Neurospora crassa OR74A: one gene and its partner. The main gene of each other region encodes a partner of the protein of the gene in region 2 in a complex. Links are inferred from orthologs where the notes say so. Each region holds a gene or a part of one and is shown on either strand. Other genes may lie near its edges.

Evidence for each region. Proteins that work in one complex are often made in the same cells at the same time.
Region 1: NCU06542 (region 2) and NCU09539 share a complex: the UniProt entries of both Schizosaccharomyces pombe proteins name them as parts of the mitochondrial small ribosomal subunit. The link is inferred for Neurospora crassa OR74A from reciprocal best matches to the Schizosaccharomyces pombe genes mrps12 and sws2.

What each region holds. Positions count from the first base shown.
Region 1 is NC_026505.1:4,522,108-4,531,619, reverse strand, and holds NCU09539 (putative mitochondrial 37S ribosomal protein SWS2), read left to right. Parts: upstream 1-3,873; 5' UTR 3,874-4,032; coding exon 4,033-4,035; intron 4,036-4,101; coding exon 4,102-4,146; intron 4,147-4,230; coding exon 4,231-4,542; 3' UTR 4,543-5,006; downstream 5,007-9,512. Other genes in the region: NCU09540 (hypothetical protein), read right to left, coding at 1,864-3,669; NCU09538 (microsomal dipeptidase), read right to left, coding at 5,039-5,970, 6,054-6,266, 6,317-6,560; NCU09537 (rho-GTPase-activating protein 8), read left to right, coding at 8,463-8,508, 8,577-8,758, 8,839-9,512. UniProt on the Schizosaccharomyces pombe protein: Component of the mitochondrial ribosome (mitoribosome), a dedicated translation machinery responsible for the synthesis of mitochondrial genome-encoded proteins, including at least some of the essential transmembrane subunits of the mitochondrial respiratory chain.
Region 2 is NC_026504.1:1,581,798-1,591,179, forward strand, and holds NCU06542 (putative mitochondrial 37S ribosomal protein MRPS12), read right to left. Parts: upstream 4,200-9,382; 5' UTR 4,057-4,199; coding exon 3,901-4,056; intron 3,746-3,900; coding exon 3,452-3,745; intron 3,318-3,451; coding exon 3,243-3,317; 3' UTR 3,062-3,242; downstream 1-3,061. Other genes in the region: NCU06541 (alpha-1,2 mannosyltransferase KTR1), read left to right, coding at 1,067-1,117, 1,214-2,116, 2,179-2,467, 2,532-2,599; NCU06543 (acyl-CoA dehydrogenase), read left to right, coding at 5,391-5,482, 5,582-6,791. UniProt on the Schizosaccharomyces pombe protein: Component of the mitochondrial ribosome (mitoribosome), a dedicated translation machinery responsible for the synthesis of mitochondrial genome-encoded proteins, including at least some of the essential transmembrane subunits of the mitochondrial respiratory chain.

The DNA of each region.
Region 1 (9,512 bases), on a different chromosome or scaffold from region 2:
ACAGTCCGGACACGCTTCCGTTATAGGTATCGAACCAGACCCAGTAAGGGTCCGAGAGCTTTCTATCACATGAGATCGCCTGTGGGGGTATCTATCGGTCGGTCAGGCGCCTTGCATAGGTAGCTACGTATGTGTGATAGAACTCGACAAAACATAAAAAGAAAATGTCAGAAGAAAAAAAAGGAGTGGAGGAAACCCGGTGAACAATGTCTTTCTAGTGTATCAGAACCAGGGGGGGCAGGTGTCTTCGGCACATCACTTCAAGTTATCCACCTCCATGCTCGCGCACCTGCAGGTAACCGCGGGCGCTTGTCATGTCAAGCACCTCGGGTGCATCTAGCGTTCTCGAAATACTGCAACCGATTCCCATCATCTCTGTCTCACTTTGCCTTCTTGATGATGGATGTTGATTCCAGCGTACAGATTGCGGTCTTTGCCGGACTGCACTAAGATTCAAGATCACTCCGATTCGAATCATTGCCAAGCACATCATGAGTGGAAGATGTCGTTAGGAGAGGTGTCTACTTCTTTCTGTTTTGCATCTCCAGCTCCACCACTCTGGGCAAACGCCAGTAAGACAGATGGGTTACAACGCATACCTCCCAATGTACCTACAATGCCGGCACTAAGCAATGTAGTGTACTATACATGTAAAGCAAAGTCAAAGGACGAAACGCAGGTACCTCACCTCTGCTTGCGCCCTCGAGGTTGCCTGCCTGTCAGCCATGGGTTCTTTCACAGCCTTTCAGTTTCACCTCATTGCTGGTGACCTGGCGCCACCGCAACAACAATTAACTCTCGCAAAAGAGTTATTGGTTCTTCTCTTTGGGCAGCAGAAAGTGTGGGGGAAGCCTCTCTTGTGGAGTGGCGCAAAAAAAGACAGATCAAATCCCGAGAAGTGAACCCCCCCTCTCCTTCTTTCCCCTCTATTCCTTTCTAGTAGTCAGCCTGGATTGGATCACTATAGCCAGGAGGAAGCACATGTCGACCATCTTCGGAAACAGCCAACTTCTCGAGCCTTCGCCAGCCTTCACCTGATAGTATCCCTTCCAGTTACACACCGGTCATGTCGAGAAAACGCGGCACGTCAGAAGCCACACCGAGAACTTGAACTTGCCTTTGTACAACAAGAGACAAGAGATAACGCAGAAAAGAACGCCTCTGTTTCAAAGCTTTGTTCGTTCCCGCATGATTGGTCAAAAAGGTTCAATTGTATGTTCCGGTTTGATCTGCTTCTGCTTGACAGGTCGCGGTACCCGAGCTTGTGCCACCTGGAAGAGAAGGTTTAGACACCGATCATCGGACCGAGTTCTGGCTTTCACTTTGTCTGGTGACAGCGTCTGTCCGGAAGCAAATTATCAAACACCATGCAAGTGACTAGGGGATCCGGCATACCAAAGACCATGCTTGATGATCATCGGAATGTCGAGTCTTCTTATTCGGCTCAACATGCAACGGCAAACTGCAAGAAGGCTAAGAGCTCTCCGATCTAGGGGTAATGCTGCTGCAGCGTGGGACAGATCGCTTCAACCTATTGCGACATGCTGAATGGCAGTTCCCCATCGAAGAAGGATGCGACCATTAGCCGAACCGAAGGCGTGCAGAAATTCGGAACGACAGTCCTGCAACTCTCTCCATTTGCGGAATAAAACCCCCGGGATAGGTAGACATAGGGTATAACCTGGACGGACACAAAAATAGATATATCAGGTCAACAAGTCAAATGTCTTACAACATCCCGCACAACCCCAGGGGTACAATATCCGAGAGATTGCTGTATAGGTAGGTATGCGTGAAAGACAAAGGTGGCTGGGGAAGAGGAGACAACTCATCCGACATCGTTTTATTTTCCTACACGTCTTCTTATTTCTTGATACCCACAACGACGAGATTTCGAGGGCTCTGGCCATAGTCAAATACTGTCTCCACCCAGCAGTCGCGAACAATATCGGAATGTTCCTTGAGGAACAGGTACCGGTCAGTCACGATAAGGGACTCAACAACGCACGCGCTAAAGGCCATCAGGCTCCAGACTGCGCTGAGCTCCCGCTTTCGGGGCAGGTACGCGGCCTCGTACTTGGCAATCTCCTCGTCGGTGATGTCACTTAGCTTCTCGCGTACAATCTGGCTGTACTGGCTAAAGTCCGAGTTGGTCGTTAGCTTCGTGATCGCTCCGCGGACGTAGGCGCTGAACGAGGTGTAGCATTGCTTCCTGAGTGAGCCGATCACGACGGGGTTGGTGCTGAAGTTGAACGGGCTCTCGTTGCCATCCTCGCCCTCGCCCTCGCCCTCGCTTGGCCCGTGGTAGACCTTGGAAATGACCCCCTTGTCGAGGAATATCCTTTGCAAGACGGCGCGGTAAAAGTGGCGGGTGAAGAAGGCATCGCTCTCCTTGTCGGTCCAGTTCCCGGGTGCTTGGCACGCCATCATACGCGCTGTAATGTTGAGTCGGATGCCTTGGTCATTGTAGGTGGAGAGTTTCTCACTCATGGGGAAACCCTGGGGATCTCGTCTCTCGGACTCCCTAACAACACGAGCATTCAATGGCTGAAGGGTTGGCCGACTGAAGCAAGGCTTGAAAGTCGGAGGACCCAGTTTTTCGGTGAGAAGGTTGTAGCAGCAACCCACGATTGCAACGGCGTGGATAGACGAGTTGAGGACCATGGACCGGATGCCGTAGTGAGAGAGGTTGCCACATGAGTGGATGGACACAGCCATCATGCTGAGATCATCCTCGCTGTGAGTTTCCGTGTACTCCAGCTGGGAGATCACAGGGGCCAAGTCGGCATCTCCCAACTTGGCAACGACGTACTCAATGCTGCCCTTTCCTTCCTCCCGCGCATAAGTGGCCTGAAGCTCCTTTCTCGATCGGAGATCAATGGTAGCAATATCTTCGTCTGTCACACCCAGTGCCTTTGCGGCGCGCTTCAGTGCCTCTTCATCGTTGGCTTCTGACGGATCTACACTTTCCATAATGCGGTGGTAGAGCTTCTTGTTGCGGATTCTCTTCTCCCGCTCAGCTAGACCGGACAAGATATCGAGATCCTTAGCGCCTGCTGTGTTGGCCTCCTTGCTCTCCACGGCAACAATATGCTTGTTGTACGGAGGACTCGCCAGAGCGCGGCCTAGATAATTCTGGCCACTGCCAAAGTCTACCAAGTGCGTCAGTTCCTGTCCCCTCACCCGAGCGACGTCCTCCGAGAGCCTGTCGATGTATCCGGAAAAGTGAGTGACTTCGTGAACTTTCTTGGTGTTCATTCCCAAAGCTACCTGCCGAGGAAGCACCGGTAGTTTTGGCTTGCTGGGCTGGAAGGAGCGTCGTAAAGAAAGTTTCCTGATATCCTTGACATATTGAACCAGCGTCTCGGGAGGCTGTCCCGGGCCAGTTTGCGCGGCAAGTGTGTCAAGATCATCTCTCATCAAGAAATCCAAAAGGACCATGGGCTCGGTCTGCACCAGGTACTCCTGCCATTCCTTGGGAACGGCAGAGACAAATAGGCCGGGCTCGCTGGTGAAGAAGTCAAGAATGTGGACACCACCACAGAGAAACTGGAAAAGGTGGGAATTGGTCGCAAAGTCCAGCAGACTGTCGACATATTGGTCTGCAGATGAAAAATCATCCGAGTATGGAAGAGGCTTTTCTGGCCTCGCAGTAAAGTCGATCGTCATGATGTGTATGGTGAGTGGTTGTTCATCTGCATTTTTGGCACATCGCCATGAAATTTTGGCTTTCTTTTCGCAAGACTCATACGGTAAAGTGTATGCATGAGGTACAATCGCATGTGTATAACCTTTATGGCGACAGCTGGCGGAGCATGGGATGCCAGCTGTCCCGCACCCCAAATGCTCCGCTGCGGATTTGCACCGGCCAATGCGGGCTCCCCCACGATCCGCCGCCTGCCCGGCAAGTCTGCACGCCCGGTTCCAAATCGCGGGTTGCGGGTTGCTGAGAGCTGAGAGTCGAGACTCCTCCGCGATTCCTGAACCGAGTTATGCCCATTGCGACAAGGTGACTTATCGTCGGCTAACAAGATGGTACCTACAACGGCCTCTGCGATTTCCGGGAATATTTGTCCAAAAGTTCTAACATTTTATTGCTAGGTGTTCATCCTGGGAGTCAACTTCAATGAGCACAAGCTCGTCCAGGTGCGCTCTCCTCCTCGTCCTCGTCCTCGTCCTCCTCTGCGCTCCAAGAATCACCCTGGTTAACCTTCCACTTGCGAACCACAGAAAGCTCTCGAGAGCTTCTACGGCCTAGGCCAGCAGGCCTCTGCCCGCATTCTCGCAAAGTATTCGATCCACCCGCGCGCGAAGATGGGCACCCTCCCGCCCAAGATCGTCACTGCCCTGACGGCCGAACTGTCGACCATGACAATCGAGAACGACGCCAGGAGGCTGGTGCTGGACAACATCAAGCGCCTCCGTGATATGGGTACCTACCGCGGTCGTCGCCATGCCATGGGTCTGCCCGTGCGCGGTCAGCAGACGAGGAACCAGATCGCCAACGCCAGGAAGCTCAACAAGATCGAGCGCCACGGTTGAGCGAGTCGATGACGGTAATGGTGACGGGAACCTTGGAGAATACCATGACGTCTGGATATTTCTGGAGCAATTCTGCTACGCGACATTTGCTTCGATAGCTGTCGGACCATGGGATCGAACGCATGGACAGAGAAGAAAGAGATGTGCCTGACGTGGCTCGGCTGGGTGTTGTCGAGCTTTTAGAGCAGGCAGGCAGGCAAAATCAGTGTACGATACGTCAAGCCAGAACGAAGACACGCTGGGACGCAAAAGGAATCAGGCGCGGCGTTGTAGAGCAATTCATCGGATCAAGTCAAAACACGGGCAACTTTTTGCTTATTGACTCGAATCACGACAGACATTTATGATACCCAATTCCCGAGTCTATATGCTAGCCAGATCTTGTGTCTTTATATAAGCAGCTTGCCATCTGCAGGCTCATCTTGGAGCTATCTACGCTGCCACAAAACTTTGCGGAAACACGGTAATTTTCTCTACGTGCCGCCCATTCAGATGTCTACTCCTCGGGCATCAAGTTAGGCAGATCATCCTCCAGAGCCGACTCACCAGCAGCTTGCATCGTAGCCGCCACGAGCTCAACATCCCTCCACACGCGGAGTATGTTACCGCCCACGACCTTGCTCACATCCTCATCACTAACACCCCGTCGAAGCAGCTCGGCCACCAAGTCCGGGTAGCGCGAGACATCTTCCAGTCCCTTCGGGACGACTGGAATCCCATCAAAGTCACTACCCAGACCGACATGATCATATCCAATCAGCTCGCCAATATGAATGATATGGTCAGCCACATGCTCCAGAGTCGCATTGGCCGGGTAAAAATCCGGCAGCCCATCGTCCCTGTCCGGCGCCGCCACGCACGAGATAAAGTCGGGTGAGAAGTTGACCATAACCAGCGAGTTGCGCTCCTTGACCAGACGAAGGACGTCATCCGGCACGTTGCGCGGGTGGGGGCACAGCGCGTAGGCGCTCGAGTGGCTGAAGATGACAGGGGCCCTGCTGCCATTCCAGTCCTTGCCCGAGCCACCCAAAACATCCTTCATCGTGTCGACGCTGGTGTGGGCCAGATCCACGATCATGCCGATGCGGTTCATCTCGTTGACTAGGGCTTCGCCGGCCGGGCTGACGCCGCCCCAGTGGGACGGGGCCTTGCGGAATGGGTTCTCCTGCAGGGCGGCGTCGGCGTACTTGTTGCCGCAGTTGTGGACCAAGGTCGCGTAGCGGACGCCCAGGGCGTGGTAGCGCCGCAGCGTGGCGGCCGAGTTGCCGATCTGGTGCAGGCCCTCGATGCCCATGGGCGAGATGAGCTGGTTGTGGTGCTTCCAGGCCTTGTAGGCGGCTTTGCTGGAGACTGCCGGCCCGAGGTCCTTGGGATAGGCGGCTTTGAGGCGGTCGACTAGGTCGATCTGTTGGAGGGTAGCCTGGACGGCTGTGTGGTTGGAAAGGGATAATGTCAGACTCTTTTTCTCTTGACGTGCTATGCAGTAAGGCTGCGTGAAAGGTTGAACCCACCGGGCAGATAGTTTTCATCAGAAAAGTCGGAGCCGTTGGCAGGGCAAGGCCAGAACAAGCTCCAGAAGGCCCCTCCGTTCATACCAGCTCTCAGGCGTGCAAGGTCGACATGACCGGGGAGCGTGCCGTCTTCCCAGCCGGTGGTAAAGTTCTTGTCATTGATGTGGTTCTTGAAAGCGGCTCGCAGCAGGATTGGCAAATCATTGTGTCCATCTATACTCTATGTCAGTATTTGGTGAATAATTATTGATTTGTGGTCGTACCGATCAATGGAGTGTGTGACAGGATACGCTTCACGCGTTTTTCAATGCTCTTCTCCCTCGGGTAGCTGGGCAGGCAACCCGACATGCCATAGCTGGCGGGTCGGACGAGAAGGTGAAGCAATAAAAGAGAGATGATCACGGCGGCCCAGAACTTGCGGCCGAATCCTCGCCGTTGACGGCGCGTGTTGGGGGCGGATAAACGCTCAACATCATCCCCGACATCGCGGGTCTTTTCTTCCTTCATCTTCTCAGGGACGACTGTTTCACCAACGTTATGGCCGAAAAAGCGATGAATGAGGGAAAAGGGAAAAGAGATGCGTAAGTAGAAACAGGGGAGCGTGTTTACGGTGTTGTCGTTGAAGGATTAGAAATCGCCTAAAGCTTAGCGGGGTTACTTCATCTTAGTTGATAGTCCGCGGCGTTGTCATGTCATTGATGATGCGACCTGGAAATGCATACACTTCTTGAGTTAGATGCAAAAGAAGCGTGTATACTTAGTGTAGACCTACCGGTGCGTCTCAAGCGACTACATCTAGAATCCGAGTCAAGGCACGAATAGGTAATGTCGAAAGGAGTCATGAACAGTTACTCCAACTGAGATCTACACGTCTACTGAGTGGTTCGTAGAGTGGGTATCTTGGCGTATATGTATAAAGTGCAGCATCCATAACTGACGGGACCACAGCCTTTGGGCCGTGCCAGTTCCTTCATCTCCCATCAAAGTACATGACGAGCCCGAAGCACAATACTACTCAAATGTTCATATTCTGTTGTATCTCATCGGCGACCTTAACTCTGCTGGCGGCGAAGCTGCCCGATGGTGATGCTTTGCTACACTTTGTGGTCTGGACATCCAACGAGAGAGCGGTCTTGGCATGGACATCCGAGGAGGGACAGTGGGGTTCACAGCCCAAGTCTCAGTCATTCAGTTCAGCACTAATCCGCAGACCATTCACCTTCAAGTAGTGTAGAAGTGTAAAACTACGTTTCCAGAAAGAAACAGACACGGGAACTTGAGTTTGATAGGCTCCATCCCGTCTCAAGACCCCTCGACCCCTACACGAGGAGGTTGAGGTTACCTATTTTAGGGCGTACTTGTACCTCACGTGTGGATCCTTCTGACGCTGCCCCTCCTCCAATGAAACTTGGAACTGAATGAGTGAGACTTGGCTGCCCGATGACAGCCAACCCACCATGACACTTCTCGGTGGACACCGTCCCTGCACCTCCACCACTTCCACTCGGCCTGCCCGTACCTACCTTACCAGACTTACCTACCTGCAAGCGCACCACATCCTGCCGTCCACCTCTTCTAGTGTAGGTAAAGGAAGTGCACCCATCTGCGTGCTGTACTTGAAGAAGTTTGAGTGTGTGTTGCCCCTGTTTCACGAATGCCCGTTCGTCCCTTGTGCTCACTGACTGCTATTTCTGACTGCGACATCGACAACGACTGGACTTTTGCCTTGTGTCTTTCCAATTTGGCTGCCGGTGCTTCTCCTTCCCCTCCCCTGAAGCCCCCCCCCCAGCGTTTCTTCAACTTCACTTCTTTTTACTTTGACACTTTAGCAGGCCACTGCATTTTGCTCTTGTTGTTCCTTCCTAGTTCCGTCGGCGATCACCGCCAACTTCATGCTCATCACCCAGGTACCTAGTCGACTATCCAGGTAGTGATTTGGTCCCATATCCGGATAGTTGGATCCCACGACAAGGAGACCGGCATTGAGCTCCGTTGAAAGAGACCCCCGCTGCTATCACGGTGCCTGCGTCGTCTCCATCCCCAGGCCACTCGGCGGCGCTGCGCCCCCCCTTTAATCCCAGACCCGCCAGACTTACCCACCTTCCCGCCGCCTAGTTCAACTGGCTCTTCGAGAAACGACACTGACGGGATCAACCACCCCGGACCCCGACTTGGACTACCCTGACGGATCGTATACCGTATTCACCGGCCTCTCCTCAATCAGACCTAGGCGAGGATTATCAGCTGGGATCCTGCTTGCCTCAGCCTCACTCCAGCGTCGCGCGCCGACCAAAAACTCTCGCTGCCCCTGCTGCCACAAGTTTTCCCACAGTTAATTCATCCCAAACATCATCGTCTCTGCTACATACCACCGACTCATCCTATCGAGCGATAGCCCTCCTTACCACAATGCCGGGCTTCGCGGACTCCTTCTGGTCCAACGACTACGCCGCAGGTAAGTAGTTTGGCTGTCGCCAGTAGATCCGCTGTCGTTGTCGGCCGTGCTGACGCACACGTGCTCAGGCCTCGGGGTCCTGTTTGGCAAGCTCCAGCAAGGCGTGGTCGAAAACCGCCAACTCCTGACCATCGCTCGCATGCGCGCCGAAGCCGAGGACGTGTATGGTCAGCGTCTATCCGAAATCGCCCCTGCCGTTGACAAGATCCCGAACGGCTTCAACCGCGACGATGGCGCAAGTGTGCGCAAGGTACGAATCACATGCCAGCAAAGCCAGACCAGGCTTCATCTTGGCCGAGACAGCGTTGACTGACTTGTCTCCCCCGCCAGGCTTATGAGGGTGTGCGGACCGAGATGGAAGACGCCTCCAAGAACCACAAGAAAATTGCGCAAAACATCCGAGATCTAGTTGTGAACCCCTTTACGCGCTGGTGCGACGCCCACGAATCTCGGCTACAAAATTCGCAGGAAGAGCTCCAGGCAAAGATCAAGGCCCACGACAAACAAGCCGAACTCGTCAAGAAGCTGCGCAGCAACTATTTCAACAAGTGCCGCCTGGTAGAGGATCTCGAAGAAGAAAACAAGTTGGCCTTCCAAGACCCCGAATCGGCAGCGAGCCCGAAACCCAAGCAGCCAATTCCCGAAATCAAGGTTGAGCCCGAGGAGGAGGAAGATGACGAGCCGTACGAGATTGGCGATGAGACCTATTCGCCTGACCAGATCAAGAAGATCCTCGCCCACATGCTCAACAACATCAAGATGGGCGAGACCAAGGTCCCGATCCTGGGAACGTACCAGAACACATCGGCTGGTACGGATATTGTCGAATACTTGCAGCGGCATATGGGCACTACGAGCATCAGTTATGCTGAGAGAATCGGCCAGGATCTCATCACCCACGGCTTCCTGCGTCTGATCGGTAATGTCGGAAACACTTTCGCCAACAGTTCCAGGATGTCCTACCAATGGCGCCCTCAGGCGTTCAAGCTGGCTGGTGTTCCGGA
Region 2 (9,382 bases):
AGGTAGGTAGTGCCCCTGGAAGTTGACGACGCCCGTCTCAAGGGGGTTTTTGTCCCTTACTAACAGGGCCACGCTAGAACCGTCACGGCCCGCAATAATGGGGTACCTGCGGATACAGGTGACGACGAAGCTGTGGGGGCACCGAGGGCACCCTAATGTCTTTCCCTGCCGCCTACCCCCGCGGCCAATCTTTTGGTCCTGGCCGGACGGAAACATTGAGGTGCTCAGGGGAATGCACCGCAAGCGACCATCAGGAACGGGGAATGCGATAGCTTCTGGTAGGTATGTAGATATTATTTAGGCCACTTGCGGACGTTGCTGAGGATGTTGTAGGTAGATACCGACACTTTTGGGATGTTTTCATTACAGGCTAGTTCGCACCTAACTACCTCTAAAGAGGCCGAAACATGAACAGCACTTGAGATACCAGCATCTCCATGCTAGACATTCCTCTAATATCCAAGTCCCCAAGTATCAGAACAAAGTATCCAGGGGTATTTACAGTCTAGAAAAGTGCCAGACTCTTCTCAACCAACGGCCCGGGTACCCCTTTGCATACGCGGACGTGGCACCCCTCTGTACCTCTACGTGCCAATTAATGTGCCTAGCAAACCTCCGCATTATATCCATACAATACCAGGCAATACGAAGCTGCAGTGGGCTGCCCTAGCAGGACTGCGCCCGAGCCTTCGAACCCTGACAGCTAACAACACTTGGCTCCCGTCCCGCCTCCAAGGGAACTTCTTCCTCTTTCAACTTCACTTCTTTTTCAGGATCCAAGCCTGGCCATCTTCTCTCCTGGTTGAATTATCTCTTTCAACCACCGAGGCCGTGTTCGCCATCTGCAGTTCCATCTCGGACATCTCCCCGGGATCCGGACATCTCAAGACTTGTCGTGCAGCAGCGATTCACGAGGGATCCGGGTCGCTTCCTTCCGTGGCTCGCCTTCAGCCATTGTCCATCCTGTCCCACAGGACCCGTGAACACGAACATTTTCGGAAACACAATCACCACTGCACTCGACAAACTTTGACTTTAGGCTCGATTCAGTCCGTATTCCTTCAACATGGCGGCGGGCAGCGCACGCTACGTGCGCTACATCCTCCTTGCCTTTTTTGTAAGTCTGATCATCTCTGGTACACTTCTTGGCTCAATGCTCTGCACTCAATAGTAGCTGTTCGCTTTCCCGGTACCCCACTAACCATGACGTTAGGTTATCGCCGTTCTTTACTTCATCTCTACGCCGTCATCCGTCGTGACCCCCCTAAAAGATAACTTTGGCAAATTCCAACAATCCACCGGAAACTCGAAGCCATCGACTGGAAGTACTACCGGAAGCACTGCCGGAAGTACCACCGGAGGCACCACCGAAGTCGCCCACGATGAAAAGACACCCGCTAAGAGCAATGGCGCCGACTACGATCCTGCCCAGTACCCGTTGGCCATGACTCCGAATGACCCGGGCTGGAACGACTTGTCTGGGGTTAAGGGCGGCCCTCGCATGAACGCGACCTTTGTCACCTTGGCTCGCAACGGCGATGTGTGGGAAATTGCAAAGTCGATCCGCTCGGTCGAGGACCGCTTCAACCGCCGCTACAACTACGACTGGGTCTTCCTCAACGACAAGCCATTTGACGAAACCTTCAAGAAGGTTACCTCCTCGCTTGTGTCCGGCAAGACGTACTATGGCGAGATTCCGACCGAGCACTGGTCGTTCCCGCCTCACATTGACCAGGAGAAGGCCAAAAAGGTTCGCGAGGACATGAGACAGCGCAAGATCATTTACGGTGACAGTATCAGCTACCGCCACATGTGCCGCTTTGAGTCCGGCTTCTTCTTCCGCCAGCCCCTCATGATGAACTACGACTACTACTGGCGCGTTGAGCCGAGCGTCGAGTTCCACTGCGACATCCACTACGATCCTTTCCGCTTCATGCACGAGAATAACAAGAAGTACAGCTTCGTGCTCAGCCTTTACGAGTACTTCGAGACTATCCCGACCCTCTGGGACAGCGTTACCAAGTTCATCAAGAACCACCCCGAGCACATTGCTGAGGGCAACTCCATGGCTTTCCTCAGTGACGATGGTGGCAAGACCTACAACAAGTGCCACTTTGTAAGTATTTTCCGTGAGGATTCACAGCTTGCGACAAGTTTAGTCTAACAATGTTATTATAGTGGTCCAACTTTGAGATTGGTAGCCTCAACTGGCTTCGCTCCAAGGCCTACACCGACTACTTCGAGTCTCTGGATCAGGATGGTGGTTTCTTCTATGAGCGCTGGGGCGATGCCCCGGTCCACTCTATTGCCGCCGGCTTGATGTTGAAGAAGGAGGAAATCCACTTCTTCAACGACATTGCCTACTACCACGTTCCCTTCACTCACTGCCCCACCGGAGAGCAGTTCCGTCTCGACCGCAAGTGCCACTGCAACCCCAAGGAGAACTTTGACTGGAAGGGGTATTCTTGTAAGTCTTACCCGGAAGTTCCCTTCTCTTACTGAGCCGTCCACTGACCCCAATCACTTATCAGGCACTTCGAGGTACTACGAGCTTAATGGTCTTCCGAAGCCAGAAGGCTGGCAAGATCAGTCGGATTAGAAGGAGGCGAAGAAGAAACAGTTCTGAGGGTGTGGGGATTAAGGCTTTATGTTGGGAAAACAGGTCTGCAAATAAAACCAAAAGCGGACATTCCCTAGAATGTATTATCGTTATAATGACTTTTTCGTTCTCAATTGGTGGTACAACCCAATTGCCTGGAAACATGGACCTATAAATGGGAAAGGTTGGGCAAAAACGAAGCTGCCTGTTCTGAGTGTTTTGATGGATAGGGAAGGGCTATAAGGGGCGTTAAGGAAATCATGACACAATCACTTAGGGTTAGGTTCGTTGTTACCGACTGCTGAGATAACCCTGGTATTGCCAGGTGTGAAAAGGCAAGCTGACAGCAACACAGTTGGTCCAGTGTCTCCGTCCTTCCCCGAAGTATTTCGTCTTCGGTGTTGTATCATCTTGAACATGGCCAGTCTTCGACAGTCGTAATACAAGGAATATGGACGCCGATATCCTGTCATGCACCTTTTATTTCCTTATAGTACACGGACACATAGTTTAGGATGCGGAATGATGAACTACATGGATGAAGCTTAACCACCTCCACCACGCTCACATCACATCATCATCATCCTACTGCCATGTAACCAGGGGGGGTATCATCTCAATTGTGCTCTGTTGTGCTAGCTGCTTAACCAACAGAGGCCTTCTTGGGCTTCTTGGTACCGTACTTGCTACGACTAGACATACGAGTAGCAACACCGGCCTGTTTTATCACCATTCTTTGTCAGCACATCATTTTCACAAACTAAACACTCATCTTCCCCTTTTTCTCCTTCTCTCCCATCCTCCATCCAGGGGTCTCCATCTAGGGATTTTTCTTCTCAGGAAAAAACTTACCAAATCCAAAGCACCTCTAACAAGATGATACCTCACACCAGGGCAATCCTGGGCTCTGCCGCCACGCACGAGCACGACGCTGTGCTGCGAAATGTTGTGGCCCTCGCCGGGGATATAGGCCGTGATGACCTTACCCGTGGAAAGACGGACACGGGCAGTCTTGCGTTCGCCCGAATTGGGCTTCTTGGGACGCGTGATGCCGACTTTGACACATACACCCTTGAGCGCGGGAGACTTGATGGAGGACAGGGCGGGGGAGACGGCGTGGCGAGCACGTTGGGGCTTACGGCAACCCTGGAGGAATGAAGATAAGAGTGGTTAGCTTTTGATCAGATTGAATTGGACGCGGGACATAGGGCTGTGGTAGTAGCACGGGAACCAAAGTGGTGATAGGTGCATAGGTAGGTAGAGGTAGGCGGGTTGGGGATAGCCTCATCATCATCACTTACCCTCATGACCTGGTTAAGAGTGGCATTCTGCGCCGGAGTGCTGGAGAACAACCGCGCAGCAGCAGGAAGGATGGAAGAGGACGATGGCATCAGCGGCCGTCGTAGCAGCGACGGCTGCGCCTGCGAAAACAAGTTCCGCAAGAAAGTCGTCGCCATCTTGTGATCTTGTGGATCTTGCTGATGGCGGGATGCTCCGAAATCGTCAAGTTCGGTCGGTCGCGGCGCGCAACAGGACGCGGTACAGTACAGGATAGCGGTTCCCCAGGCCGGGCCCGGCAGGCGCACGCAGGGCCGGCGGCGGCGGGCGGTACCAGTGTGGGAACTTTTTTCGTGTCACGGGATGACACACGTGGAGATAAGCTGAGCCAAGAAGGTAGCAGAGGTACGTACCTACTGCCGTGCTTGAGGGACGGAAGCCATTGGGTAAGCTCCGAGTCGTGTGCGGCAATCATCGGTTAGCTGTGAGCCTTCGACAAACTGACAGTCACATGGCATTTGTTTTCCATTCCCCTTCGTTTTCTGAAACTCGTTCGTTGGCACCTCATCATTCCATTTCTATCGCTCGTCTGGCTCTGTTTTCCCTTCTCGCTCACGATCCATGGTTTGCTATTCGCGATTAACGAGTCACGATCCACGGTCTAGCAACAATGGTCACCGCTCGCCGTGCCCCGTGCCCGGCCATCATCAAGGTCCATTCGAGAGAGAGTGCCCCTCCTCCGATGTCCCGTCTCTACCGTGTCTCCCCCAAATGCATCCCTGTCGTGGCCACCGTTTACCCCGGCCAAGGAAATCTTTGTGGGGAAAATGACCTCTTAAGAGGACCGCCCGATTCGGAGCTTTGTGAATGGTGGAGACCTTACCTCGGCAGAGGGGGAGACACTTGACCCAGCTGTTCACAGCATATCGGCCGTGTGCCGGCCAATGCCATTGACCTTTGTTACCCGCTGGCTTGGCTTTTGAATTACTGAGAGAGAGAGGGATAGAGAGAGCTAACAGTAGAGCTCTTGTCCCGGTTGCCCGTAGGTATCCTGCTATCAAGGTGTACGCACCTATCTCCTCGAATACCGCGTGGGCTTCTGCGATAATGATCTGTTCTGTATATCAAATGCATAGTGACAGGTTAGACACATCGAAGGTGTAGGAGATGCATACGATGCAAAGGTCAAGAGAAATCGGGACTCTCTTCACCTTATTTTGAGCCCACGCTGTCATTGTTGCCTTCCATCCAATACTCCACGGATCATCGTTACGGAGCTACATAAGTACATCTTTCATCTGGTCGTTAGTGTTAGCTCCGCTGTACCGTGCCCAGCGACTTATAAGTACCCGAAGCTCGTTCCATCACACCTCCAGTTCTCCTTCCCCAAGCATTTGATACCCTTTCCGCCTTCTTTTCTTCCATTATCTCTGTCCTCTTCGTTCTTCCTAGACAGCACTCGCGCCAGGTTTCCGATCGGTTCTTTAATCATCACACATACGCATCAGACACAATGAAGTCGTTCACTAGGGTTTTGCGTCCCGCCGTCCGCAGGGCTCAGGCAGTTTCCGCTCCCAGACTCTCCAGAACTCCCGTCGTCCAATGGTAAGTTTTGTCATCTCGTCTCATGCCTGGTCTGGTCTCAAAAGAGATGGGCTGGAAGAGGGAGAAGGCGATGTGCTAATACTTGGTTTCCCGACATAGCGCTCGCACTCTTTCCACCACCTCCCCTCGCCGGGACATAACCGATCTGCCGCCAACCCCCATTACCCACTTCTCCGAGGTTGAGACCGCCATGGCTGAGACTGTCCAGAAGTTCGCCAACGATGTCATTCTTCCCAAGGTCCGCGATATGGATGAGGCCGAGGCTATGGACCCCGCCATTGTCGAGCAGCTTTTCGAGCAGGGTATTATGGGTGTCGAGATTCCCGAGGAGTACGGCGGTGCCGGCATGAACTTCACCGCCGCCATTGTTTGTATTGAGGAGCTCGCCCGCATCGACCCCTCGGTATCCGTCATGGTTGACGTCCACAACACCCTTGTCAATACCGCCGTCATTCGCTGGGGTAGCGAGGCGCTCAAGAAGAAGTACCTCCCCAAGCTGGCTACCAACACCGTCGGTTCCTTCTGCTTGTCCGAGCCCGTCTCCGGCTCTGATGCTTTCGCCCTCGCCACACGCGCCGTCGAGACCGAAAACGGCTACAAGATCAACGGCAGCAAGATGTGGATTACCAACAGTATGGAGGCCGACTTCTTTATTGTCTTCGCCAATGTCGACCCCAGCAAGGGCTACCGCGGTATTACCGCCTTCATCGTCGAGAAGGGCATGAAGGGCTTCAGCATCGCCAAGAAGGAGAAGAAGCTCGGCATCAAGGCCTCCAGCACGTGTGTGCTCAACTTTGACGACGTCGAGGTCCCCAAGGAGAACATTCTCGGCAAGGTCGGCGAGGGCTACAAGTACGCCATTGGCATCCTCAACGAGGGCCGCATCGGTATCGGCGCCCAGATGACCGGTCTCGCGCTCGGTGCGTGGGAGAACGCGGTCAAGTACGTGTGGAACGACCGCAAGCAGTTCGGCCAGCTCGTCGGCGAGTTCCAGGGCATGCAGCACCAGATCGCCCAGTCCTACACCGAGATCGCCGCCGCGCGCGCGCTCGTCTACAATGCCGCCCGCAAGAAGGAGGCCGGCGAGGATTTCGTCATGGATGCCGCTATGGCCAAGCTCTACGCTTCCCAGGTTGCCGGCCGCGTCTCCGGTCTCGCTGTCGAGTGGATGGGTGGCATGGGCTTCGTCCGTGAGGGTCTTGCTGAAAAGTTCTTCCGTGACAGCAAGATCGGTGCCATTTACGAGGGTACCAGCAACATCCAGCTTAACACTATTGCCAAGACTCTCCAGAAGCAGTACACTGCTTAAGATAGCGGGTTGACTGTCGATATGTGTTCTGATGGTAGTGTTATATAAGGGTGTGCATGTACATATTGGTTAGGATATCATGGAGTTAAGGGGATGCCGAGTTTCAAAAGGGGCAGGAAGCACCTTGTCATGATCTAGAATATTCAGCAAGCCATTTTTTTTCCGGTCACTCATTCCGGTTTCTTTCTGGTTTTCTTGATTTTTCGGTTTTCTTTACATGATTTGGGAGCCGTGCGAGATGCGATGATCCGTCGTACATTGATCTGGCTGGCAATGTCCATGAGACATGGGACTTTGATCGAACGCAACATCCACAATGCTCCGTCAACACTGCAACAAGTACTTACCTGACGCCCGTTTGCTGTCATTCATCCTGCGATATGTGCCTACGGATACTGATATGCCTTTGGCGCGCGCAGCTAGTCTTCAAAGTGATTTCACTCGAGGATAACCGAGGACGAAGCCGATGGAAAGTTGACGGGTCTCTTGATATTCGAACTCCTCGTCATCTACAACTCTTTCCGGTTTATACTGCGTAAACCAGCTGTTTGGCTCACCCCATGAGTCCTACATCCCTGCATTCTCAAACCTGGCTTCGGTCATGATTTTCCGAAGCTTCATTCACTACAAGTATCGAATCTCTACTGTGTCATTCGGGTAGGAAACCAGTCGAGTCTTGGGACGAAATCCAGCTTCTTCGGCTTGGACAATTTCCAGCTTATTTATCCCTAACCCGCAACCCATCACATCAGTGTAGTGTAGGTAGTATGCATCCTAAGACATGGATGGGCACACCGTGACCGCCTTTCCTGTCGAGACTCCAAATGGGGTTTGTCTCCTCTGTCTCAAGTCGCCGTCATCATTGCCTAAATACTTGCACATCAGGACTTTTCGGGCGATGGTGTTCTCAAAAGTCAGGCGGTTAACATGTGAGGTCTTTATACACAGACCAACCTTTGAGATTTGTTAGTGCGAAACTTACAACGTCTTCTGACAAGGCAGAAAGAGGACATGATTTTCAGGCGGTTCTATTGGTCCAAACCGAGCTAGAGTCAGGTTATGAACAACAATTGATGGTGTCCCATACATATGTCTCGCACCAAAATTTGACTGTACTTATAGCGAGCAATAAGCAGGATTGGCGCCTACCTCTAGCCATCTTGAAAGTGCCATGTTAACAAACTTTTCGAGGGTGAACTGTTGACAGCATGTTCCTTCACTAGGACGAGTGAAAGAAAGTCGACTGCGTGATCCAAGTCCCCAAAGTGTGATTCGGCATGCCCAATCACAGCCCTCCAAACTCAAGCGGTTCAAGGTGCGCCACCAACTGAACTCAAGTGCACGCACCCGTTTCGATACTGCGCCCACTGACACCCCTCGGTCTCCGGGCTTCCAATCCCATGTCCCAAGCCCAAGTGCGGAAGGGAAGTCCTACCAGCGCCCTGCACCACCATTTCAACAGTCCTACGGTTCGGTATCAGCGCACCAGGCAGACCAGGCCATCCACTCCCGTCGTGACGGTGTCGTATAGGTATCGATGTGTGGAGGTGCCCATCTTCTGTTCGGGTAGTCATTGCCTGTGGCTGCCCAACAGTCTGTCTGTGTGAGCTGTGCGTGATATGCAAACAAAAGGGTTCCATTCCAAGAGGGTCGCTGCTGTTAGTGTTGTTGACTGTTTGAAAATGCGCCGATTCGGAACCATCTGATGCCAAGACGAGGCTATCGTAGATTTTTGTTAGTTCCCAAGAACCACCCCCCTTTGGATGATGGGGTGGTAAAGAACACTGCATGGAATGGGCTCGTCGCGCCTAAATTCAAAGAACAAACGGGGACTGTTGGCCTCGAGATTTCCCGCTTAGTATGTGCGGTTCTCGTATATCCCTAGGTGTATTAGATTTCATTGTTCTCGTGATGATGGATATACTAAAGAATGAAAGACACCTAGCGGGCGAGGTACCTGACTGGGAACCGGAAGTCCAGTCGACAAATTGAAGTGTTGGACTTGGACCAAAACCACGCGATCCCCGCCTCTTCAAGGGGAAAAGTGGACGTTGCTAACAAGGAAGTGACCTGCCCGCCTTTGCCCCGAACTGCCTGTGCGTACTTCGACCGCTCAGCGTGCAGTACCAGGCATCGTCGTCTCTCGTCTGGATGCCCACTGGCTGTTTGGCTCGTCGAATCGACAAGGGCCGCCGCCGCCAAACCTATGCGAAACACACAAAACCCCGCCATCGTTAGCATCATACCTCTCTCTGCAGTACCTGCTAATCTGCTGCCACCTTGAGCCTTTCCATCTTGCACATTGAAGCCTCCTCGTTCAGTCCCGTCGAAAAAGGCAAAACCCGCCTTTTCTCTCTGTTAATGCTAATTGCTGCCCCGCCGCCACTATCTCCTCCATTACCTACCTACCTACCTCTACCTACCCGACGTCTAGGTCCAGCAGCGTAGCACTCCAATCAGTGTCTGCCTTATAAAGTGTCCATAGCACCTAGAGGTACCCTCGACCTCCATCCATCCCTCCTGGCTGGACCTCCTTATCCGTCCTCGCTGCCAAGTTGCCTTCCTGGCTCGCCTCGCCTTCCACCCGGGAA